Xenopus tropicalis: one gene and its partners. The protein of the gene in region 3 purifies or fractionates together with the protein of the main gene of each other region. This does not show direct contact. Links are inferred from orthologs where the notes say so. Each region holds a gene or a part of one and is shown on either strand. Other genes may lie near its edges. The genes, in order: ilf2, cwc15, sf3b1, sart1, prpf3, dnajc8 and snrnp200.

Region 1 (3,961 bases), on a different chromosome or scaffold from region 3:
GATGGGGCCCAGCAGTGTAGCATCTGCCCCCGGGGCAGTTCTGCAGGTTGCAGTGAATATGAATAAAACCTGGGGGTAGGTACTAACAGGGCGGAAGCTGCCGTTGCTCCCCTGCTGGGACATTGTGTCTCTCAGTAGCACCAAAAGGTGTGTGCGGATCACAATAGCACAGGGCGGAGTCCTGTTGGGGCAGATTTCAATGTAAATACCCCTGAAGGAACCTCATGGGGGGGATGCAGCAGTAACATATCTATGTTAAAGGGCTAGTTCCCCTTTAAATGAACTTTTTTTTTGTGGTTTTTCAGTTATTTAGGTTTTTGTCCTGGAGCTCTTACTATGCACCTATGCGGTTGCCAGGGTCTTATTTACCTTAGCAACCAGGCAGTTGTTTGAATGAGAGACTGGAATATAAATAGGAGAGGGACTGAATGGAAAGATAAGTGATAAAAAATAACAATAATATTGTAGCCTTACAGAGCAGTAGTTGTTTTTTGGTTGCCGGGGTCAGTGACCCCCATTAGAAAGCTGGAAAAAGGCAGAAGAGACTTGTAAGATGTTTGTTGCTATTACAGTGTTTGTCTGCTGCCCTGCTGGTTCTGACTTCTGAAGCAATGTAGCAGAAGCCAACAGATTCACAGAGCTGGAGAAGGAATTGACTGCTGCCACACACTGTATTACAGGAGTCAGAATGGGAAAGGCTGTGGGGTAACTACAGGAACAGCCCCCCCCCCCCATTACTTGTATCTCCCCAATAAACCCTCACAGACTTGCACATTTTTCATAAACAAACTATTTTGTGAGAGTTTTTCCACCATTGTTAGCGCCATTTCTTTACAGGGCGATACAAATGCAATACTGGAAGTAAAAATACCAGCAGCCATTTTGTCCAGGCGTTGTGTTGGTTGATTATAAATAAAGTTTAGCGGGAAAAAGTGGAATCTGCCGCCATTATGGAAGTAGCGTCCTGTGTGGGCGGGCTTACTCCGCCTTCGGCGATTGGTGAGTGTCCCCGTCCGTCACAGCGATGCGTTTGCCGAGCGGGTTTGGATAGGTTGTCAGACGCCGAGAGGGAGGGAGTTGACTGTTCGTGATGCTGATTGGCTGTGGAACCGGTCGTTATAGCCAATAGGAAAGCAGATTGTTGGTCTAGTGTGGCTGTATCGAGGGCCGAGAGGTTGTCCATTGTGCGGGAGTGTGAGGAACGAAGATCTGAAACATGAGGTGCGGGGGGTTCGGGGGCCGAGTGGGGAGCTGCCATGGGGATTGGGGGGACCGGGAGCGGTGCCGGGTTTCCTTCTCGCCTTCCGGGGCCTATTGTGGGGCACATTGTGTGCTGGGCTCCGGGGGGCCTGGTCCTACTGAGAATAGGATAGGGGGGCTCCGGGGGGTACTGTACCTAATATATAGGGGGGCCCTGGGGGTACTGTACCTAATATATAGGGGGGCCCTGGGGGTACTGTACCTAATATATAGGGGGGCCCTGGGGGTACTGTACCTAATATATAGGGGGGCCCTGGGGGACTGTACCTAATATATAGGGGGGCCCTGGGGGTACTGTACCTAATATATAGGGGGGGGGCCCTGGGGGGAACTGTACCTAATATATAGGGAGGGATAGGGGGGCCCTGGGGGGAATGTACCTAATATATAGGGAAGGGATAGGGGGCCCTGGGGGGAATGTACCTAATATATAGGGAAGGGGATAGGGGGGCCCTGGGGGGACTGTACCTAATATATAGGGAAGGGATAGGGGGGCCCTGGGGGACTGTACCTAATATATAGGGAAGGGATAGGGGGGCCCTGGGGGGACTGTACCTAATATATAGGGAAGGGATAGGGGGGCCCTGGGGGGACTGTACCTAATATATAGGGAAGGGATAGGGGGGCCCTGGGGGGACTGTACCTAATATATAGGGAAGGGATAGGGGGGCCCTGGGGGACTGTACCTAATATATAGGGAAGGGATAGGGGGGCCCCTGGGGGGGACTGTACCTAATATATAGGGAAGGGATAGGGGGGCCCTGGGGGGACTGTACCTAATATATAGGGAAGGGATAGGGGGGCCCTGGGGGGACTGTACCTAATATATAGGGAAGGGATAGGGGGGCCCTGGGGGGACTGTACCTAATATATAGGGAAGGGATAGGGGGGCCCCTGGGGGGACTGTACCTAATATATAGGGAAGGGATAGGGGGGCCCTGGGGGGACTGTACCTAATATATAGGGAAGGGATAGGGGGGCCCTGGGGGGACTGTACCTAATATATAGGAAGGGAAGGGGGCCCTGGGGGAACTGTACCTAATATATAGGGAAGGGATAGGGGGGCCCTGGGGGACTGTACCTAATATATAGGGAAGGGATAGGGGGGCCCTGGGGGGACTGTACCTAATATATAGGGAAGGGATAGGGGGGCCCTGGGGGGACTGTACCTAATATATAGGGAGGGATAGGGGGGCCCCTGGGGGGACCTGTACCTAATATATAGGGAAGGGATAGGGGGGCCCTGGGGGGACTGTACCTAATATATAGGGAAGGGATAGGGGGGCCCTGGGGGGACTGTACCTAATATATAGGGAAGGGATAGGGGGGCCCTGGGGGGACTGTACCTAATATATAGGGAAGGGATAGGGGGGCCCTGGGGGGACTGTACCTAATATATAGGGAAGGGATAGGGGGGCCCTGGGGGTACTGTACCTAATATATAGGGAAGGGATAGGGGGGCCCTGGGTACATGATCGGATAACAAATATTGGGCGCTGGATGTTTGAATAATGATATAGTGATAATAAATGAGTAGAACACAGAGGGTCATACAGTAATAAATACAAAGTAGTTATATTAGAGATTAAGAGCTAAGTGTCCTGTGACGCTTACAATCTAAGGTGCCCCCCCCCCCCCCAGAAATGTACGTATTCTAAATTGTTCTACTTTTCTTAGGGGTGAACGAGGACGTGGACGTGGCCGCTTTGGCTCCAGAGTGGGACCTAACACAGGGTGAGCTGCCTATTGTAACTACATACTCCCGTCAGTCGCTCCTGGGTGGAAATGTGATGTAGAGGGTAATGTTCCGAGACAGCTTGCAGTTGGTCTTCATTTTGTATTCATAGTTTTTTAATTATTTACATTTTTGTTCAGCAGCTATCTGGTTGCTAGGTGGGTGCTAAATCACCTTAGCACCCATGTAGTGGCTTGATTAAGAGACTGATCTATGAATAGGGGAGGGGCTGAATAGAAAGATAAGGAATAAAAAGTAACAATAACCATAAAACTGGAGCCTCACAGAGAAGTTTTCTGGCTGCCGGGGTCAGTGACCCCCATTTTGAAAGCTGAAGAGAATAAGAGGAAGGCAAATGATGAAAAAATAATAAATAAATAATGAAGACCAATTGAAAAGTTGCATTGAATTGGCCATTGTATAACATACTAACAGTTGCGTGTAAAGGTGCAGCCCCCCTGACTCTGTGCCATAGGGTAGCCATATTCCTTATTCAGTAGCCACATTGTGCAGTGCAGGTACATGTTCTCTAATGTAAATATGACCCTTTTATTCTTTCTCTTACAGTTTCAGACCCTTCGTCCCTCACATTCCCTTTGATTTCCACGTGGTAAGTGGCTTTTCCTTCCCCCCACATTCTGTACATGTATATATATATCTATATAGATAGATATATCTTCTCTATCCTTGTGCTTACATACTGACTTACCCTTCTTTTCAGTGTGAAATGGCCTTCCCGCGTGTGAAACCCGCCCCCGACGATAGCTCATTCAGCGAGTCACTGCTCAAACGAAACCAAGATCTGGCCCCCAGCACAGCCGAGCAGGTAGCTATATGCTTCCCTTGCCCCCCACCCCCGGCACTGTTGCCTCTGCCCATATTCATTATACCCTTTGTGCTCTCCCCCCACCAGGCCTCAATCCTTTCTTTGGTCACCAAAATCAACAACGTTATCGACAATTTGAT
Region 2 (3,953 bases), on a different chromosome or scaffold from region 3:
AGTCCAGTTGCTTTAGGGCTCTGGCACATGGGGCGATTAGTCGCCCGCGACAAATCTCCCTGTTCGTGGGTGACTAATCTCCCCGAGTTGCCATCAGTTGCCATCCCACCGGCGAACATGTAAGTCGCCGGTGGGATGGCACACGCGGCGCGATTTCGGCAAGTCGCCGAAAATGCCTCGCGAGGCAACTGCGCAGCGTGTACCATCCTTACATGCTCGCCGGTGGGATGGTAGTTCAGGGAGATTAGTTGCCCGTGACAAGGGAGATTTGTTGCGGGTGACTAATCTCCCCTTGTGCCAGAGCCCTTACATTTATTTATACTAGATATACCATGACCTGGATGAATGAAAATCTTCATAGACATACACTATCTATCCTTTCACTCCTAGAGTGACAATAAAATGTCTAACTGGCTCCTGTAGCTAACCTCTTAGAGAGGTGAAGTCCCAGGAAGAAGACCTCATGGTTTGTGAGTCCATTCCCTTTTATATTGCAGAACACCACCACCTAGTGGTCACTGCTGAACTGCAGAGGAAACTCTCTTTTAATCTGGAAAGAATAATTATAATAATATAATAATTAAAGATGAATTAAAAAGTTAAAAAAAAAATTGTAGATGTTTATGTAAAGTTGGGGGGAACACAGGTCAAAAAATTTCATAACGGTAATGATGCTTCATTGTTATTTGTATATGACAATAAACTAGAAACTATAGCACACACACAATTAGGACCACCCTTAGGTCCATATCCCACAAGGCCACCCACTGGTATGCCTGTCTAAAGGGGAACCCAGGCACAGGGGCCCAAATCTTGGGGTCCCTACATAAAAATTATTAAAAAGAATTAATGAATAACAAAAAAGGGCAACTAATTTAGTAAAGAGAAATCTCAGTTATGAAAAATGACTGCTCGGAAATGTTCTTATGTAAACCAACACAGAGAAGTCAGAAGCCCTGCACAGTGTTATATAATATTCTCCCTTTACCGCACATACACCCCCTGATTCATTACATAGCCACAACAAACATGGCCGCCGACGGCTTCCAATCAGCTGGAACGCCCTCTTGCTTACGTGACGCGTACTCCGAGCGCCGGAAGTTTCCCGGTGGAAAGAACTAGCGCGACGGGTAATTGTGACGCCAGTCGCCGTGGGATTTGGTGCTGGGGCTGAGGCGCTGTTACGGGGTGAGCGAAATCGCACCTTTGGGAAGAGGGGAATTCAGGCTGAACGGCAGCGATTATTTTAGTCATAGGGGATTGAGGCCCTCTAGGAGCAATATATCGCCCCCCACTATCCCTGTTGGCTGGGGAAGCTTACAGCTCGGCTTTATCTACTTAGCAATACTGTACCCTCCTGCCCAGTCTGTGAGTCCCCTGCTAATGTAAGGGAACTCGGCTGGTTAAGCCTATGGCCAGCAATATCAACTTGAGGGACAATTGAAAGTACAGGCATGGGATCCCTTATCTGGAAACCTGTTATCCAGAACGTTCCAAGTTACAGAAAGGCCATCTCCCATAGACTCCATTTTAATCAAATAATTCAAATTTTTAAAAATGATTCCCTTTTCTCTGTAATAATAAAACAGTACCTGTACTTGATCCCAACTAAGATATAATTACCCCTTATTGGAGCAGAACAGCCCTATTGGGTTTATTTAATGGTTAAATGATTCCCTTTTCTCTGTAATAATAAAACAGTACCTGTACTTGATCCCAACTAAGATATAATTACCCCTTATTGGGGCAGAACAGCCCTATTGGGTTTATTTAATGGTTAAATGATTCCCTTTTCTCTGTAATAATAAAACAGTACCTGTACTTGATCCCAACTAAGATATAATTACCCCTTATTGGGGGCAGAACAGCCCTATTGGGTTTATTTAATGGTTAAATGATTCCCTTTTCTCTGTAATAATAAAACAGTACCTGTACTTGATCCCAACTAAGATATAATTACCCCTTATTGGGGGCAGAACAGCCCTATTGGGTTTATTTAATGGTTAAATGATTCCCTTTTCTATGTAATAATAAAACAGTACCTGTACTTGATCCCAACTAAGATATAATTACCCCTTATTGGGGGCAGAACAGCCCTATTGGGTTTATTTAATGGTTAAATGGTTCCCTTTTCTCTGTAATAATAAAACAGTACCTGTACTTGATCCCAACTAAGATATAATTACCCCTTATTGGGGGCAGAACAGCCCTATTGGGTTTATTTAATGGTTAAATGATTCCCTTTTCTCTGTAATAATAAAACAGTACCTGTACTTGATCCCAACTAAGATATAATTACCCCTTATTGGGGGCAGAACAGTCCTGTTGGGTTTATTTCATGGTTAAATGATTCCCTTTTCTCTGTAATAATAAAACAGTACCTGTACTTGATCCCAACTAAGATATAATTACCCCTTACTGGGGCAGAATAAGCCTATTGGGTTTATTCAATATTTGAATGATTTTTACCAGACATAAGGTAGGAGATCCCTTATCTGGTCACGAGCATTCTGGATAACAGGTCCCATACCTGTAGTATCATTCTGCCTTTCCTGTGCTCTGCGCTGCTGCTTCTGACTCCTGAAGCTGTGTAGAAAAAGTCAGCTTATGAAAGTAGGAATTTTAAAACAGTTCTTGTATTTGTGTGTGAAACAGTTGTGTAAAAGATGACAACCGCGGCCAGGCCAACGTTTGAACCAGCAAGAGGCGGCAGAGGTAAAGGGGAAGCCGATCTCAGTCAGCTCTCAAAGCAGTATTCCAGCAGAGACCTCCCCTCTCACACTAAGATCAAATACAGGTATGTGAGTGGCTAAGGCATGTAAGATATTTGTTCTGTAGTCCTTAACATGGCACAGTGAATTATGTTGGTCATTAAAGGGGAAGTATATCCCCCTTTTCAAGATTATTTCACTTGTGCTTGTGTTGAACATTCTTTTTGTTATTATTTACAAACCATTATGAGACACCTCTGTATATGGGTGAAGACACACGGAGCTACTAGTAGCAGCTACTTGTCACGGCTACTAAAATAGACAGTGCTGATCATTTACTGATAATTGTCTCTAAATTGTGTGTTTTAGCAGAGGCAATTCTCAGTATTGTCTGTGGCAGGGGATTTTCTGGCGTTTAGTAGCCGTGACAAATAGCTGCTACTAAGTACCATGTGTCTTCATCCTAATACCTGTTCCTTATCACAGAGCCTAATGACTAAAGGCTGCCCCTGGGGGAAGGGAGGGGTTTGTTTATACAGTGGACTTTTCGTATGTATATATTTATTAAGCGGTACTTATGTACGCAGCGCTGTACAGTAGAATACATTAATACAAACAGGAGGTTATTAAAATAATAGATAAATACAAAGTATAACAATAAATACAGATAAATACAAGATACAGTTGCAATAAGTTAAGAGTCAAAGACACAAGAGGATGGAGGTCCCTGCCCCGTAGAGCATACAGTCTAGATGGGAGGGTAACTTACAGACACAAATAGGCAAATATAAGTGCTGTAGGTCACAGTGGGTGACATTACAATATAAGTGCCAGTTCCCAGATCAGGTGCTGGGTGAGTGCTCCAAAAGTTAGTCTTTAAGTTTAGTTTTAAGAACACTGGGGAGGATTTTCTTCGGAGGAAATCTGGGAGGGCATTCCAAATATAAGGGGCAGCAAGTTGGGAAACTGCAGTAGTAGTGGGGGGGGGGCGTAACCAAGCAGTTACTCTGCGAGGAACAGAGGAGTCGACCAGAAATGTACGGCGACACAAGGGAAGAGATGTAGTGAGGAGCAGAGGAATGGAGGGCTTTGAAGGTTAGGAGAAGGAGTTTGTAAGATATTCTTTGTTTAATAGGAAGCCATGATAAGGACTTTAGCAGGGGAAGGGCCTGAACTCTCCTGGATGAGAGGAGGAGAATTTTGGCAGCAGTGTTTAATATAGACTGTAGTGGGGAAAGATGG
Region 3 (3,500 bases):
TTAAATGCACAATTGGAGGAAACAGACCATACGGTGTCTGCTTCCTCTATTGTTACGCCACTGGGCTGTGGGAGCACACAAAGGCTAGGTAAAATATATAAATACAATGGAAGTGTGACTGACTTACACACACATTTAAAACACTTCCCACATTTGCTCTCTCTTCAATAAGTAAAAAAAAAATGCAAAAAGGAAGTATTTAATTACCCAACCATTGATAAATTAGCCTTTATGAATTTACAAAAATACAATTGTTGTAACAAGTGTATAAAACGAAAATGCAAACTGTGACACATACTTTCCTCATCGGAGGTGTACCATTTTTTATTTTTAACAATAACTTCATTATTTTTCTTTCTTTCTGCTCTTCTGGACTAAGTGTAGATTCATCAACATCAACCTGAAAGAGATTGCAAAATATATAAAAATTAATACGAAATAAATACGATGCCCTGTCTTATGAGTTAGTTAGAACAGTAAAAGTATCTATTTTCATCTTTTATGTATACAGAAAAGAGTAAAGTGAAGCAGTTTCCATAGAATATTTTATTAACATTTTTCAGTTAACGTTAACTGGGAAGTTTAGGATTTTATTATACTACATCTACACCACAAATATTTTCTCAGCTTAAATTGTGGTAAATTACCAGGCCTTCCAAATGTTTACACTCTTTTAAACATGGATTTACAGAATGACATATCCTGAATGTACTTTGTTTACTTTATAGACAAATTTCGCCAACTCTTTTAAAAGAAATTTATCCATAAACCAAAACCTCAGTGTGACACTACCATCCCTGTTTTGGGGTAACAGAAATGCAGCATTGGTTTAATGCTACTTTCATATGGATAGTAAAAACATACTTTTATTGGGACTGCTAAGAACAATTAACAGGGGGAAAGCTGGAGTCAATGCATGATTCCCCCAAAGAAATAACCCATGAAACACTTAACTAGGGATGCACTGAATCCATTTTTTTTTTCTTATTTGGCTGAACCCTAAATCCTTTGTGAGTGATTCAACAGAATATCGAACCAAATCCGAACCCTAACTTGCATATGTAAATTAGGGTACAGAAGGGTTCAGACGTGGCGAAAAATTTTCATCTTCCAAGTTTACATAAAAAAAAAAAAAAAAAAGTCATGTGATTTTAAGGATTCAGTTCAGCCAAAATCCTGAATCGAATCCTGAATTTGATGCATCCCTACCCTCAACATAAATATCCACGCCCGACACAGTGAGGACAGAGGATCTCTGCAGCATCTCCCTTACCCAATCACATGCAAGGAAAAGGTGGAGGGATTATGTCCTCCAGTGAAAATATGAGGCACAGTGTTGCACCTAACAAGAAGAGATGTGCTCAAAGAGGTATTGCACATTTCTCTTTTTTATTTATGATTGGTGGATGGTAGTCAATGTAGCGCTAATACTAATGCCAAAAGGAATAAAACTTTCTTGGGTCATCTATACAACTCACTTACAGTTTTCTTAAGTACTTAATATTTTGGGCAAAAAAGCTACTCAAAATGGTCATACCACTTGGGTATGTAGCACAGAAGAGGAAGTGCCATTGATCTGAAAGTGAGCAAGGAGAACAGCAGCACACACAGTGTTGTTGCCATAGAAAGCAGATATCTCAAAGAACCATAAAGGTCAGTAGGGATGTATCTGTCTAGAGGTCATAACTTTCTGGGAAGAGTACAGAGGCAGCACAAACTCACCAACAATTTGTCAAAGTACTGAATATCATCAGGTTTCAGGAACGGAAGATTTCCAGAAGGTTGATCACTAACACTTTTCATGGTTCGATCCTCTGTCGGCATATGAAACCCAGTCAAACCTCCTAATGGTGTTGGAGTTGCGGTCAATTTACGGGCAGGTGTACGAATTGGTACATATCCAGCAGGAGGAGGGAGAACCTTTTAATTTTTTCAGAAGGAATTAAAGAAAACTGTTAATTACCGGTCCATGCAGTTTCTTCAAAGCATATCCTGGAATACATTAGAATTTGAGCCAAAAAGAATAAATAAAAGAGCAGTACATTCACAAAAACAATGACCTTTGTAAGAAAACAGATTATGCATTAAAGGGGGGGACTAGCCAGAAGGCATCTGAAAAGAAAAATGAAGTTATGATTAGAACATTACCTTCTAGACATTCTTCTATATGAATTTAGATACTATGTTTTCGCTTATCTGTAACCCTGGAGCGAACTATAGGTTTAGACTTATGGCCCACAGGAAAAAGGGTATACATGTTGCTTCGTTTTTCGAAGTTGCACAAAGTTTCCCTCCTGCAGGTATTAACCACAGGCAACTAATCTCCCCATGGGCCATTGCCCTTAAGAGTTTGGATTTTATTGTGCTAAAGATTAAACACCATAAAATCGCTGGGATTCAGATGAATACTGTACAGATTTATAAAGAACATTATTTTAATTTTTTTTTATTTTTAGTTTGATTGCTTTATTATCAAAACTGATTGTAAAACTGGTCCCAACACCAAAATCCCTTTGCCTTCAGAGGCAGTTTTGTGTTCTTTTCATAGCGCAGCCAGTATTTTGGAATGTGCCTGAAGTTTAGCTATACGGTGTGCAGCTTCTTTCATCTGCCAGAAACACAATGTCTGTGCTGAAGGCTTTGTAAGTAGAAATTTTTATGCAGATGAAAGAAGCTGCACATTCTTAACTACTGCCTGCACTGTGTAAAGAAGCTTTACTCCAGGCAAAAAGCAGCACTCCTTTTGCCACAAAGATTAGGATGCTATGTCATAAAATGCTGGAGCTTTAAAAATGGGCAGAAGGGCCTGAAACGTTGCATGTACTGACCAGATTTTTGCCATCATGAAATAAAGGCCTTTTATTTATAAGAAAAAAAAAATTCTCCTTAATGGTGCTAGACTTGATAAAATGCTGGGGTGGCAAGTATTGATGACCAAAATATATGGCCAGGCACAGATACGCAGCAAAATTCCACACTTTGCCATTGGTGTTTTTTTTTCTAAACAGACACAAAAATTTGCTGCGAAAAAAAATTGCTGAGCAAGGGAAAAAGTTGCGGTTGCTTCAAAAAAAAGTCAGACACGTTAGAAAATATTGCGTGGTAGACGCGTTTCGCAAATGGTTTAGCAGGTTATGAATTTTTCTGCAAAGTTGGCCAGATTAGTTTATCACTAGTGGCAAGTACTCTGTCATGAAATGCTTGAGGAAAGTGGCGTAATAATTTTACATGTAAATCCCCTCTGCACGCTGGCTTCGAGGTAAGATAGAGGAGAGGGAAGCAAGGATTTATGTACACCAAATGTAAAAAGAGTTAGGGAGCAACACAAGTCTGAACATTGTTCATGAGGGTGCTAAATAAGGGCTGTGAATGGCTATTGGTAGCTCCTTTGTGAACTGGCAGCCTTAAAGGAGAAGGAAAGGCTAAGTCACTTGGGGGTGCCAAAATGTTAGGCACCCCCAAGTGACTTAGATCACTTACCTTTTACCCCGGGGTAGTAG
Region 4 (2,735 bases), on a different chromosome or scaffold from region 3:
TAGATTCTCAAAAAAAGGTGAACTACCGCAAATGCTGCCTGAGATTTGGCTTAACTGAAAAGCATAATTATTATATAAACCACAACCCTGAGTATAATTCATCGCTTTGGTACTGACCAACTAAAGTATCAAAACATGGCACCTTGTTCTCACTGGCTCAGACTTGTATAGACATACTCGTATACATTTATACTTTAGGAAATTAAAACATTTTTAATTTAAAACATAAGGCATACCCTTTCACGTGCATTTTAATACTTCCCATATGTTATGCTCTTTGCAAAGATACTAATGCCCCTTACAAGAGGATACAAATAGTGTGTCTATCTTTGAAGACCAAGTATAACTTACAGCTTCTTCATCCAACTTCTTCATGCGCCTTTCGGTTTTCATCTTGCCAGATCCCTTTCCGTGGAAACGATGAGACAGCTGCCGGAAGGCCTGTGTGGAAAGGGGAATTTAGAAAATAAGCATAAATTGAAGACAAGCAGAACAGAAAATGTAGAGAGCACCATGACAGCTCACCTCCTTGGGACAGAGTTTGCGTCCAGTCTCATCAACATACTCGATCTTAACATCGGGTCTATAGCCTTCCTTCTCTTTGAAATCTTGTGTGAAGCCCCGGTACTCTTCTCTTCTGCTGTATTTATCATCTATTGCCCTTTGGAGTGAGATTAAGAAAGGAACCATAAAAGGTCAAAAGAAAGTTGTTCAGTGACAAGATCACATGTATATGAAACCCAGGTAACAAATTAACCGCTGAATTTGATTTACACAGCTCACCAAAATTATGCTGACCCAGCCATGGTGACTTTGTTGCACTTTATTTAAAGGGCTACTGCTATGATTTTTATGGTATATTTTTATACCATAATTCACTCTACCACTTAAAATTTTATTCTAGAATCAACAAATGTATTTCTTACTATTGAGTGCTATTCTGATATCTGAAATCTGTTTGCGTTTTTGAAAAACAGATTTCAATTCAGGATTCTGCTGGAGAAGCTCTATTAACTGATGTGTTTTGAAAATAAGTATTCCTTTATTGATCTGTTAGCCCTTTGAAAGCCATATTGCTTACATTTTATCCTCTATACAGTATACAGCAGATGGGAGGGACTTATTAGGAGTCTTTACACGAGCCACTTTTTGTACAGTTGTCTCCAGCAATCCTGTTAGGAGGAAACAGATGCTGAAGTTAATGCTCAATGTGAAACCATCAATACAAACAAAATTGATAAAATATTAAAAAAAAAAAAAAAAAAATCCAAATGCTCCCATTTTGGAATCCACAATCACACTGATGCAAATTTTTCAAATTTTTTTTTTTTTTTTTTTTTTAACAATCCCAACCCAAATTTCCCTTGAACATCAGCAATAAAAGTAAAAAAAAAAAAAACAAAAAAAACCTTACCTTTATTCTTACACAAAAGTAGAGCAGCACCCAAACCTCGGTTCACAATAGGTTCTTCATCCAAAATGGTAGTGGAAGAGGCAGAATACTGGAAAGACAGACACTGTCAAGGAGTCCGATACTTACAAGTGTATAAACAAAAACTTATAGCCAAGGAACTTACATCGTGCTGATTCTTCTCTTCATCAAGGTTCACCATGCTCCAACCAATGTTCTCTTCCCCATCAGACTCTCCATTCTCATTTTCAGAATCTGCTTCATCCTTTTCAAAGTCCTAGTAGCAGAAAAAAAAAAAAAAAAAAATGCTACACATATAATAGTATAAATAAAGTAGAAAACTTGACCAACATACAGGATGCACATACCATGAGATCCTCCTGATCCTCCCTGTTTCCTGCAAGTCCATATGTTGGGATTTCCCCAAGGGTCCTGCAGAATTCAGAAGTTGCATTGAATACAATTGAACCTTTCTTATCATCGTCATCTTCTTCGTCCTGACCTTTCTGAGACTCCACCCTTTTGACCAATGCAACAACCTGAAAAGCAAAAATTAGATTAAAAAAACAAGAGATTTAACTTTTGATCAAAGTAAGACTGAAATACTGAAATGGGAATTGTATTCCCCACTACACCTTATCACTGCTGTCTTTTTGTTGCTGAATTTGTTTTAATCTTCTGCTTTTCTCCAACTGTTTTTGTAATTCACTTTCAAGTTCATCTTCCTCTATAACTGCTGCAGAGTCATCATTGTCTTCTTTAAAAGGAAAAAGTCATTAGCAAGCCCTTTATAATTAAAGCATGATAGGCAGGTAAAGAACGAAGAACAACGGGTGAATGAAAAGGCACACTTAGAAAAGAAATAAACGGAGAATGTAAATATTTTCTTACCCTGGTCACTCATAACCATGCTTTCCACTCGAATATCATCAGACTGCAGTATTTCATCTATTTCTTCTATCCCGTTCTCCTCGTCTGAATCCTCTACACGCCTACGCCCACGCCCCCTTGATCTGACAAGTTAATTAGAGAAGGATACAGAGGTCAGTAATAACTGGACCAAACTATCTGTTGTACCTGCAGGGACAAAAATAATCCACTACAGGATAAACTAAGCTTTTTGTTTTGTTAAAAACCATACAGCTAATTTTTTGTGGGACAGTGGGTACACCCTAAGACTTCCATTCTTAGAGTGCTACTTTTTTCACCCTCTTTCTGTGTCTTTTAGAAGAGCTGAAGATGTTAGAAAGCATATGTCATGTAGAAAGTGTAATACATTTTTGTTATAGCGAATTCAGTATATAAAATACAGCATTTCTAGCAA
Region 5 (2,969 bases), on a different chromosome or scaffold from region 3:
TGCATGGAACAGAAAACCTTCTGCTAGGGTCACTGAATTTAAGGCATTGTTACAAAGATTCCAGAAATTAGTGAAACTAGTCTCTAGTGGATTATACAAATCCATTTTAGATAAACTTAAAAACCTTGGAGCAGAATGTCTCTATAGCTAAGGTCTGAATGTGCCATTGAGTTTATTGCAGAAGTATACATGTAGGAGCAGACCTAGCCACTGAGTATACAGTCAAGCCCATTCTACCTAAAGCAAGTTCACATTTGTAAACAGAATAGGCGGAAATACTAAATATATGTATTGAGAATGAAACTTAGTAATATACCATTTACAAAGATTTCCACAGGAAAACTACACCCCCCAAACAATGTAGGTCTCTATAAAAATATTGCATAAACAAGCAGCCCATATGTAAAACCCTGCTTCATCTGCACTCCTAAATAGAAAATTGCCATTTTAAGTACTAAAGGCTGCCCCCAGGGATCATAGGATTCACGGTGCACACAAACAAGCCAAGGCACACATAAATGCTAGGCCCCATCAGCCAATTAATGGACAGAGTTCTGCCTTTTGCTCCCACACTACTTCCTGTTACAGTTAGAGCTGCATTATTTCCTGTCAGCTGATCTCTGAGGGAGCACACAGCCCATCACTAAATTGTGGCTCAAGGGAAAGGATGTAAAAGGGTAATATTTACTGATATACTATCTATCTATAACTATCTGTTGGTTAAGTATTCATTCTGGGGGTATAGTTTCTCTTTAAAGGTAAAAAAAAATGCCCTTTTTGACATTCAGTTGGGCTTCGGTTAACCTTAACCTTTAGAAATAAATGTATATTTATTTTTACACAGCTAGACTTCAGAGTAGGAATTCAGAAGATTCTGGGACATGAAGTTCTCTGCTTTGCAGAGAATCTGTGCACTTCCCAGCATGGAAAGCATAAGAACTTCAAGTCCCAGAATCCATCACTTCAACATGGAATAAAGAGAAGGAAAGGTTAAATGCGTGCCTAATGGGGACAGGGGGGTATGGTCCATGCAACTCAGAGGCTGACTGTCATGGTTTCCTTTCCTGTATATCTGCATATAGAAACAGAGCTGAAGTGCCTCATTTCCCTTCCAATTATCATGACAAATTTTCTGATTGTTTTTTAGGGTACAACTAAGGAACGCAGCTTTGGAGACATGAAATTCAAACAGTGTCCCACAGAAAATATGGCTAGGGAACATTTTAAGAAACATGGAGCAGAGCATTACTGGGATCTGGCGCTTAGTAAGTCTGTTTTGGAAACTGCAGACTGAAAGCAAGTTCTGAGCCTTACAACACTGCTGCACTTCTCCAAACAGAAGGAAAAAACAGACTAGGACTATGAGCGCCTTAACAACTTGCAGCGCTCGCAACTAAATCTAGCTTGAAACACACTGTTTCTTGCCCAAGCAAAGTTATCCTTCTCTTCCATCTTACTGTAATTCTGGGTAACCTCAAACACTGCTGCCGACCAGTTTAACCATAGCAACCTGCTCTTGTCCAGCCTTTGCTCACTGATTGTAACATAAATGACAGCCACTCTGCAGCCTTTACCCCTACCCCCAGTTTTTTTTTCTTTTCACATAAAAAGGCTTTATGCTTCAACTCTGAAGAAATGCTGTTTTCAGAATGATTTATTTTGGTAAAGATAAGCCTTATTTTGGTTGGTTCATACATGCAAACAGAAAAAAGAAAATGTAAATACATGGGAAGAATGAAAAACATAGACCATACATAATGGGAATTGGGATTAAGCATTCAAACAACTCATTACAAAATCCATATGGTTAAAGGAGAAAAAGATACAGAAGCCAGTAGGGTGTAGGTAGTATTTGTAGCCTAAGTCCACCACAGCCCTTTAGCAGTAAAGTTCTGTGACCCCCTATCCTCTTTTCTGCTGATTCACTGAGCATGGGCAGTGCCACTGACACTCATTAGATGGCTTACAAATATCAGAAGATGGAGAGCTACTGTGGACAAATTGGAAGGCAAGTGTCATTACTGTTATAGCTGCTAAACCTCTGGGCTTGCACAGTAAGTTAAGTGTTTAGAAGGCAGCATTTTAACCATATTTGTTCTTAGTTCTCCTTTAATTCAGAGAAGCATCCTCTAGTGTTGAAAACATATGCATTTTTTCCAATTCAACTTCATAATTCCTTGGTTTGTATTAATGGTTTAAATAGTTTCGCCTTACAACCGGAAAGGTTGATTTTCAGCTTTGCGGATAAGCTCCAGTTTACATGGATTCATCAAGCACCCTGGACAGGACAATTGGCAAGAAACCTTATCCTATAGATTTGACTCCATGTTTCTTTATTGTGGATTGGCATTCTGTTGGCAATTTGTTTTGTTTAGCACAACAGAACTTCAGAGTGAAATTTATAAAGTGGAGTGTAGGAAAAGGGGGATTTAGCCCTAAACCTATGACATAATAAACTTTTTTTTTTTTTTAATTGTTGTGAAAGTTTTTGTTGGTGTAATTTCATCATGTGCGGGGGGGGGGTAGCTGTGTGTATGGCTCTTAATACATTAAGGTGCTCATGAAACTGGGACGGAAGCAAAAATGTAAATGGGATGCTGCTATTCCATACATTTATTGGGCTCACTGCTGAAGTACAAATGTTTTGGGAGAGGAATAATTCTCCACTCACCTCCCAAAATGTCCCGACCAGTGACTTGGTTATACAGCACCATTCATATAATATTCATGTCCGTCCCTATGTCTGTGCAGCTCACAATCTAAGGCCTATATGTCACACAGATTTTGGTCAGTTTCATCAGGAGCCAAAGAACCTGGCTGGTTTTGAAATGTGGAATGAACCAAAGTAGCCAGAGGAAACCCATGCAGACACATGGGAGAACATAGAAATGCCTTACAGATTGTGCCCTGGCTGGAATTAAACCTCTGACCCCTATACTGCACCCAATAAAGGTTTAGTACAGCACATT
Region 6 (4,128 bases), on a different chromosome or scaffold from region 3:
GTTAAATGATGCCGAAATAAAGATGTTTTGAAAGCATTTTACCTCCTAAAACTGGAAGCTGGAACAGTGGAAGCTGGCATAAGGTCTGGGTAGAGCAGTTTTCAAGCAGTTATGGACATATTTGAACCCAAAGGTATTAAAATAAAAGCACTTCCTTCTATTTTACGTTATTTGACATGGTTTAGTGCATTGTAAAAATTTATGGTATATATCCCCTTTAAATAACCTGCCAAATCTTGAAAAATGAGTGTGGTATTTAGGGGGTGTAGTTGCAATAAAACAGGCATGGTCAAAAAAAAAATTTGCAGCACTAGGTGCCCCATTTCTTTTTCTCTTTCTTTGCATTTTTTAAATGTTGAAAGGTATTATTACAAAGAAGGCATATGGTCAAAAAGGTTGCGCCCGTGCGTATTGACGTCACAAGCAAGCACGCACGCAACCTAATAAAAGGGCCTGGCACCGCCGAACAAGGAGCCGCATATATAGAGGAGCCGCTGCAGAAGAAGAAGCAGCAGCATGTATGGAGGCTCTGTGCATTAGGGGGATACTGTGTATTGGGGGGATACTGTGCATGGGGGGTACTGTGTATAGGGGCTACTATGTATGGGGGGGGCTACTTTGTATAGGGGGCTCCTGTGTATGGGGGGCTACTGTGTATGGGGGGGCACCTGTGGATAGGGGGCACCTGTGTATGGGGGGCTCCTGTGTATGGGGGGCTACAGTGTATGGGGGGGACAAAGCTGATACATAGTTATAACTCACTTATAACTGACTGCCTTCTCTCTATATTTGTATTTATATGTAGGAGTTGCTATATTGGTTTCCTTAGGTAGTACAGTATGAGGGTATAGCACATTTGCGTCTGATCCCGCCATTTCATCTATATAAAAGGAGTATTTTTTTTTTTAATGGGGTGTGGTAATTGGGGCGTGGCCACAAAAGTGGGCGTGACCAAAATTGTCCCTCTTTTCATTTTTCAAATTTTGGGAGGTATGGGACTTGGATGCCAAAGAATTATAGTAGGCAGAAGTTGGACTAGAAAGTAGGAGCCAGTTAGTGTTAGTTGTGATGGAACTCTAAAGTGACTAATTGAGGGAATAAGGTAAAATAATCAGATACTGTGAGTTTAAAATAGTCGATCCCTTCATGCAATTAGGCTGTATGCTCTCAAAGTACAATTTATTGCTATTTGAAAGACCACACAAAATCAATTATCTTGCTCTGTGAGCCATTATGAATCACGTGACGACAACATGTGTTACGCGCACGTAGCGCTAGTCAGTACGTAACAGTCTGGGATCTACCGTTCCACCTAGCGTCAGGTTACGTGTTGCCTTACGTTCGTCTGTGCTTGGCGGCAAGATGGCGGCTCCCGGGTCTGGCGGTCCGTCCGGTTCAGTGGATGATCTGTTTTCGACGTTTTACACCGAGGTAAAGTGTTTGTAGTGGAAGAGCTTAACACCAAGCTAATTTTGGTAAAATTATAGCCGGAATTACAAAAATAAAATCTAGGCAAGAAGAAATGTACTTGCTTGAACGGAGAAATGGAGCTTAGGTCATAAATGCGGCGGTAATATACATTTGAAGAACGGGAACGCTGTAGTTTGTGGCTTCCATCGGTTGCAAAACTATCAACATGTATGGTGCAAAGTGACTAGGCTTGCTACAAGGGAAGCTATTATTATGAGAAAGTGTTAAAAGCATGCGCAATTTGTTTATTTAACTACGATTCCCAGCATCCCCACTGATTCAATTGGTAATGCAGAAATATGCTGCCTAGCAAAACTGCTTTAGCAGCCTCATACTTGCTGGGGTTGTAAAATGCTGTCTGTTAAACCAGCCATAAAGTAAAAGTGGCCCCCACATGGTCTTTGGCTTCAGTGGCTAATGTGCATATGTGGGGCAAAAGAGTCCACCTGAGCTTCAAGTATGTTGCACAACATAAATATTGTATCTCTTATAATTATACTAGTGGACTTTAGTAGCACTCTTTATCTGACTGTATTTGTATTATTTTATTGACCCAACTTTGTTTTATTAAATGTATTGTGCTGCATTCATAAGCAGTGCGTTTATAAATCGAAATATTCATACATTTGTTCAAGCTGGCACATTATCTGCTAAAACCAATGATAGTGCAGAATTGCCCTTACTTTATGGCCCATGCCTGTCGGAGAATAAATGTTTGAATAGTCCTCAACCTAGGTTCAGTCACAAGCAGGTTCAAGCTGCAATATGTGATTTAAAAATGTGTTTATTAAAGAGGCCATGCATAAAAAAAGTGATAGCCCTTTTATAGTTTGATGCATTCAAATCACATCCTTTGTATTTATTTCTCGTTTGTGTGGCTTTTGTGCATTATTCATTTCAAACAAAGCACTTACATTTTTTTTAGCCAATAACATAATTATTTCTCATTTTTTCACAGGTTAAGCAAATTGAAAAACGTGATTCTGTATTAACCCCAAAGCAGCAGATAGAAAGACTGATTAGACCTGGGTCATCCTACTTTAACTTAAACCCTTTTGAGGTAAATCTTTATTTAAGGACTGCAGCTAGTAAATTATAGGTACCGTATATACTCGAGTATAAGCCGATCCGAATATAAGCCGAGGTACCTAATTTTACCTAAGAAAACTGGAAAAACGTATTGACTCGAGTATAAGCCGACTCCCCCAGTTACATGGGAGAAGGTACACTATGAATAGAGGTCCACAGAAAAACTCACAAGTGGGAGCATACTGTGGCTTCTCTTAATGGTACAATGATGCGTCGCTTACGATGTCGCGCGCACGCATATGATATATACAGGCTGTTATAACTCTACAACATAGCGGGACAGCCCAATACAAAAGAGAATGAACTACTACTCCCACATCCCCACACTAACAGCAGTCCAAGGGTGCTGGGAGTCACTAGCATTTATGCATAAAGCCTACCCCCCCCCCCACTTCAGTTTGTGTATTGCGCCCCCCCTGCCTGTGCGCTACACACTGCCTGCTCTGTCTGCACAGGCAACAGGGCGCTCTCCCACACATGTCCTTCCTGCAAGGGGCCCCTGTATGAGCGGCTCACAGGCCAGTCGCCCCTGCCGGCTCCCTCCCCCACTAAGTATAGCAGGGGGGACAAGCCCCGTACATAACTGTACCCAGCAGGGAAGCAATAAGCCTGGGCAGCCCCACACAGGCAGCCAGTTCGTTACTTGCCCATATCTTCCCAACGATGCCCCACACAGCCAGGCAGCGGGCGAATATGCGCTATGAATTGTATTTAACATGTTCATATTATATATAATTTTTTTTTAAAATGGTAATGATGTTGCTAAAGTTATTTGAAGTCATTTGTCCTGAATGCACTGATAATTAATATTTGTTTCTGGTGTTGTATTTCTACAGGTCATGTTAGCACATAAGCTTGCACAAGCTCATACAATCCCTTTTTCAAAAAAGTTGGGATACTAAAATGTAAAAAATAGAGAATGGGATGATTTGCAAATCATTTAAACCCAATATATTATTGCAAATAGTACAAAGACCACATATCAAATGCTGAGACTGAGAAATTAAATTGTTTTCTGAATAATATATACTTGTTTCTCCAGTCTCAGAGAATCATATAGTTACATAGGGTTGAAAAAAGACCATAGTCCATCAAGTTCAACCCATCCAAGTAAACCCAGCACACACAACCTATACTTACCAATCTATACACTCACATACATAAACTATATATATACAACCACTAATACTAACTGTAGATATTAGTATCACAATAGCCTTGGATATTCTGCTTGTTCAAAAACTTATCCAGGCCCCTCTTAAAGGCATTAACAGAATCTGCCATTACCACATCTCTAGGAAGGGCATTCCACAGCCTCACTGCCCTCACTGTGAAAAACCACCTACGCTGCTTCAAATGGAAGCTCCATTCCTGTAATCTAAAGGGGTGGCCTCTGATGCGTTGATCGCTTTTATGGGAAAAAAGAACATCCTCTATCTGCCTATAATCCCCTCTAATGTACTTGTACAGAGTAATCCTGTCCCCTTGCAAGCGCCTCTTTCCAGAGAAAACAACCCCAACCTCGACAGTCTAACCTCATAGCTTAAATTTTCCATCCCCTTTACCAGT
Region 7 (3,500 bases), on a different chromosome or scaffold from region 3:
TTAGTTTAAAAGCTGAACAGTCATGTAAAATGGGTAGGATTGGAGATTTCTAAAGCAATATTTCCTTCTCTTTGCAGCCAGTTCTTGAGGTAATTTGTTCCAGAATGCGGTACATCTCCTCCCAGATAGAGAGGCCTATCCGTGTCGTGGCCCTAAGCTCCTCTCTCTCCAATGCCAAGGATGTTGCTCACTGGCTGGGTTGCAGTGCCACCTCCACATTCAACTTTCATCCCAACGTGAGGCCTGTTCCTCTGGAGTTACATATACAGGTACTGTGGGTCTGATACATATTTTGTATATTCTGCCACCAAGGCCTGCAAAAGGCTTCTGATACAATGGCAGCTTTGTAGCATTATGGCTGTTGGAAATGTATTGGACTTACAGCAAAATCTCTCATTTTTTGTATTGCAGGGCTTTAACATCAGTCATACACAAACGCGGCTGCTTTCTATGGCTAAGCCAGTTTACCATGCCATCGTAAAGCACTCGCCAAAGAAACCCATCATTGTTTTTGTGCCGTCCCGGAAGCAGACACGTCTCACTGCTATTGATATTCTTACTACCTGTGCAGCGGATGTGCAGCGACAAAGGTAAGAGATCCAGTAGAAAGTACCTTGGGCTGGGATTTGTAACGTGTTTGGGGAATAACCTTTATGAATGTTCTCTACAAGGTTCCTGCACTGCACAGAGAAGGATTTGGCTCCTTACTTGGAAAAGTTGAGTGATGAAACTCTAAAGGAAACCTTGTTGAATGGGGTGGGCTACCTGCACGAGGGCCTTTCATCACTGGAGAGACGGATTGTGGAACAGTTATTCAACACTGGTAAGCTTTGCCACTGTGTGTTGTCTTTATGGGTGACTGGGTTTTAGTAGCTCGTTTCTTTTTGCTTATATTGCTTGGTTCTTTGTGGTGTCTCGCCAGAGCGTGGAAATGCAAACCACAGAATAACATTAACTATATAACAATAACTTTTACAAAAGTACACTTCTATTTTCTGGTGTGGGCATCTTCCAAGCTGATATTTTGGGTCACCCACTGAGTTATGGGATTAGGGTTTTGCATAGAAGGTATTAGGGTTTTGCATAGAAGGTATTAGGGGAGATTTTCCATGCATTGCAAATGAAAAGGCAGTGCAATTGTGTAAATTTTAGGTTCTTGATGTATTTTGAAAAGTTGCTTAAAATTGTTTACTTTTCAAAAAGTTGTTTGGGTGGAGTTCCTCTTTAATTAAATGGTGGTAAAAAGTCAATGCAGTACCAGCAGTAGACAAGGAAGCCAGACAATTTGAGTACTTCTGCAACAGACTTTTTGTGCAATCTGACTGCCATACACCAGTGCAACACCAAATCCAACAATGCGAGGCACACATGTATAATGAGCCATATTATAGCTGCTGAACTATGGGAGAGACACAGGATAAAGGAGTGGTACCCAGAACCAAGTATCTTAAACAAAACATCAATCAATCTCTTTCTGTATATTTTAAGGAGCGGTACAGGTGATTGTGGCCTCTCGCAGTCTTTGCTGGGGACTTAACATTGCTGCACATCTGGTGATTATCATGGACACACAGTACTACAATGGCAAGATTCATGCGTAAGTATAGTCTGATCATTTTAGCCTTCCCTTATTTCTAAGTTGCTTAGCCTGACCACAATTTGTTTTTTAGGTATGTTGATTATCCCATCTATGATGTCCTGCAAATGGTGGGATATGCCAACCGGCCCTTGCAGGATGATGAAGGGCGCTGTGTTATTATGTGCCAAGGATCAAAGAAGGTGCGTTTAGGGGAAGCACTAAGCTTTCTTTCCTTTTTATGGAAAGCCATATAAATCATAGGTTATCATAATAGGGACTCATTTACGAGCACAAGTTTAGCTTTCTTCTATGCCTCCTCCCTTTCTCTTTCCTGTGCTCCTCACATGGTAATTTTATCTTCTCAATTTCATTACTTGTGTTTTTACCTTTGCAAACTGTACTTACCATTCAGTGTATTTTATTCCTTTTCAGGATTTCTTTAAAAAGTTCCTGTATGAGCCTTTGCCTGTAGAATCTCACTTGGATCACTGCCTGCACGACCACTTCAATGCAGAAATTGTCACCAAGACAGTTGAGAACAAACAGGATGCTGTGGATTATCTGACTTGGACTTTCCTGTACAGACGCATGACCCAAAACCCCAACTACTACAACCTTCAGGGTGAGAGCCTGCATACACAGAAGTGATATAAATTGTGTGCTGTCTGTCTTATGTCTCTTATAACTTCTTTGCTCTCCCGCAGGTGTTTCTCACAGGCACCTCTCGGATCACCTTTCGGAGCTGGTTGAACACACGCTGAGTGATCTTGAGCAGTCAAAATGCATCAGCATTGAAGATGAAATGGACGTGGCTCCTCTGAACCTGGGAATGATTGCTGCTTATTACTACATCAACTACACCACCATTGGTGAGGAGCGCTCTGTGCTCTTCTGGCTTGATCTCTTCCTGTCTCTCTCACAGCCTCTCAATTTGCTTTCTCTGCTTCTCCCCAGAACTCTTCAGCATGTCCCTGAATGCCAAGACCAAGGTGCGGGGTCTTATAGAAATAATCTCTAATGCAGCAGAATACGAAAGCATACCCATTCGTCACCACGAAGACAATCTGCTTCGCCAGGTCAGTGTAAGCTGCATCAGAAAACTGCATGGCAAATAGTGCACTGGTGTTGTTGAACAATGCAAGGGAATAGGAGGGAAGCAGGCATGACAACTATAAGGTCTTGCATAGTGTTATGGAAAGGTGCAGTCATCTTTAAGTGATAATAGTGTGGTCACAAGTGGTACATGCTGAGGGCATTGCGATGGGTAGTATGATAGCTTGGACTGGTCAAATGCAATCCCACACTGATTGGCATTCAGTTAAATTGTATTTGGATATTCTATTAAAGAGGCAGTTCACTTTAAGTTAGCGTTTAATATGTTCTATAATGTCATATTCCTAGCAACTTTGCAGTTGGTCATCATTTTTTAAAATATATTTTTAATTATTTGCCTTGCCCTTCTACATCTTTCCAGCTTTTAAATGGAGGTCACTGACCCCAGCAACCAAAAAAAAAAACTATTGCTCTGTGAGGCTTACAATTTTATGATTGTTACGTTTAATTCTTTATCTTTCTATTCAGTCCCTCTCCTATTCATTTTCCAGTATGTAATTCAAACCACTGCCCGGTTGCCAAGGTAAACAAGACCCTAGCAACCACATAACTGCTAAAATTCCAATCTGGAGCTAAATAAAAAAAAAAAAGCTGAGAAACCACAGATATTAAAAAATGAGGACCAATTGCAGATTGTCTCATGATATCATTGTCTACAGCATACTACAAGTTAATTTTAAAGCTGAACCACCCCTTTAATGACTTATAATATTATATTATATATTATAAATACTAATTCTTATATGGGCACAACAAGACCCTCAGGAATCATGGCAGCATGTTGGCTGCAAACAAATGTTTTCGTAGC

Evidence for each region.
Region 1: the proteins of sf3b1 (region 3) and ilf2 fractionate together in Homo sapiens (co-fractionation; 3 studies listed by BioGRID and IntAct, with this or other methods). This does not show direct contact. The link is inferred for Xenopus tropicalis from reciprocal best matches to the Homo sapiens genes SF3B1 and ILF2.
Region 2: the proteins of sf3b1 (region 3) and cwc15 purify together in Homo sapiens (co-immunoprecipitation; 3 studies listed by BioGRID and IntAct, with this or other methods). This does not show direct contact. The link is inferred for Xenopus tropicalis from reciprocal best matches to the Homo sapiens genes SF3B1 and CWC15.
Region 4: the proteins of sf3b1 (region 3) and sart1 purify together in Homo sapiens (co-immunoprecipitation; 4 studies listed by BioGRID and IntAct, with this or other methods). This does not show direct contact. The link is inferred for Xenopus tropicalis from reciprocal best matches to the Homo sapiens genes SF3B1 and SART1.
Region 5: the proteins of sf3b1 (region 3) and prpf3 purify together in Homo sapiens (co-immunoprecipitation; 3 studies listed by BioGRID and IntAct, with this or other methods). This does not show direct contact. The link is inferred for Xenopus tropicalis from reciprocal best matches to the Homo sapiens genes SF3B1 and PRPF3.
Region 6: the proteins of sf3b1 (region 3) and dnajc8 purify together in Homo sapiens (co-immunoprecipitation; 4 studies listed by BioGRID and IntAct, with this or other methods). This does not show direct contact. The link is inferred for Xenopus tropicalis from reciprocal best matches to the Homo sapiens genes SF3B1 and DNAJC8.
Region 7: the proteins of sf3b1 (region 3) and snrnp200 purify together in Homo sapiens (co-immunoprecipitation; 4 studies listed by BioGRID and IntAct, with this or other methods). This does not show direct contact. The link is inferred for Xenopus tropicalis from reciprocal best matches to the Homo sapiens genes SF3B1 and SNRNP200.

The regions. Positions count from the first base shown.
Region 1 is NC_030684.2:144,160,640-144,164,600, forward strand, and holds the start of ilf2 (interleukin enhancer-binding factor 2 homolog), read left to right. Parts: upstream 1-1,161; 5' UTR 1,162-1,216; coding exon 1,217-1,221; intron 1,222-2,937; coding exon 2,938-2,994; intron 2,995-3,562; coding exon 3,563-3,605; intron 3,606-3,716; coding exon 3,717-3,821; intron 3,822-3,908; coding exon 3,909-3,961. UniProt on the Homo sapiens protein: Chromatin-interacting protein that forms a stable heterodimer with interleukin enhancer-binding factor 3/ILF3 and plays a role in several biological processes including transcription, innate immunity or cell growth.
Region 2 is NC_030678.2:164,535,102-164,539,054, reverse strand, and holds the start of cwc15 (protein CWC15 homolog), read left to right. Parts: upstream 1-1,153; 5' UTR 1,154-1,188; intron 1,189-2,655; 5' UTR 2,656-2,666; coding exon 2,667-2,797; intron 2,798-3,953. UniProt on the Homo sapiens protein: Involved in pre-mRNA splicing as component of the spliceosome. Component of the PRP19-CDC5L complex that forms an integral part of the spliceosome and is required for activating pre-mRNA splicing.
Region 3 is NC_030685.2:45,884,422-45,887,921, forward strand, and holds part of sf3b1 (splicing factor 3B subunit 1), read right to left. Parts: intron 1,921-3,500; coding exon 1,723-1,920; intron 401-1,722; coding exon 299-400; intron 1-298. UniProt on the Homo sapiens protein: Component of the 17S U2 SnRNP complex of the spliceosome, a large ribonucleoprotein complex that removes introns from transcribed pre-mRNAs.
Region 4 is NC_030680.2:38,873,155-38,875,889, reverse strand, and holds part of sart1 (U4/U6.U5 tri-snRNP-associated protein 1), read right to left. Parts: intron 2,425-2,735; coding exon 2,303-2,424; intron 2,169-2,302; coding exon 2,047-2,168; intron 1,951-2,046; coding exon 1,780-1,950; intron 1,689-1,779; coding exon 1,578-1,688; intron 1,503-1,577; coding exon 1,415-1,502; intron 1,173-1,414; coding exon 1,082-1,172; intron 662-1,081; coding exon 526-661; intron 442-525; coding exon 352-441; intron 1-351. UniProt on the Homo sapiens protein: Plays a role in mRNA splicing as a component of the U4/U6-U5 tri-snRNP, one of the building blocks of the spliceosome. May also bind to DNA.
Region 5 is NC_030684.2:127,685,432-127,688,400, reverse strand, and holds the end of prpf3 (U4/U6 small nuclear ribonucleoprotein Prp3), read left to right. Parts: intron 1-1,147; coding exon 1,148-1,294; 3' UTR 1,295-2,469; downstream 2,470-2,969. UniProt on the Homo sapiens protein: Plays a role in pre-mRNA splicing as component of the U4/U6-U5 tri-snRNP complex that is involved in spliceosome assembly, and as component of the precatalytic spliceosome (spliceosome B complex).
Region 6 is NC_030678.2:79,254,527-79,258,654, forward strand, and holds the start of dnajc8 (dnaJ homolog subfamily C member 8), read left to right. Parts: upstream 1-1,328; 5' UTR 1,329-1,362; coding exon 1,363-1,431; intron 1,432-2,428; coding exon 2,429-2,530; intron 2,531-4,128. UniProt on the Homo sapiens protein: Suppresses polyglutamine (polyQ) aggregation of ATXN3 in neuronal cells.
Region 7 is NC_030679.2:125,079,387-125,082,886, reverse strand, and holds part of snrnp200 (U5 small nuclear ribonucleoprotein 200 kDa helicase), read left to right. Parts: intron 1-77; coding exon 78-269; intron 270-411; coding exon 412-590; intron 591-671; coding exon 672-823; intron 824-1,488; coding exon 1,489-1,597; intron 1,598-1,670; coding exon 1,671-1,779; intron 1,780-2,011; coding exon 2,012-2,201; intron 2,202-2,283; coding exon 2,284-2,448; intron 2,449-2,533; coding exon 2,534-2,655; intron 2,656-3,500. UniProt on the Homo sapiens protein: Catalyzes the ATP-dependent unwinding of U4/U6 RNA duplices, an essential step in the assembly of a catalytically active spliceosome. Plays a role in pre-mRNA splicing as a core component of precatalytic, catalytic and postcatalytic spliceosomal complexes.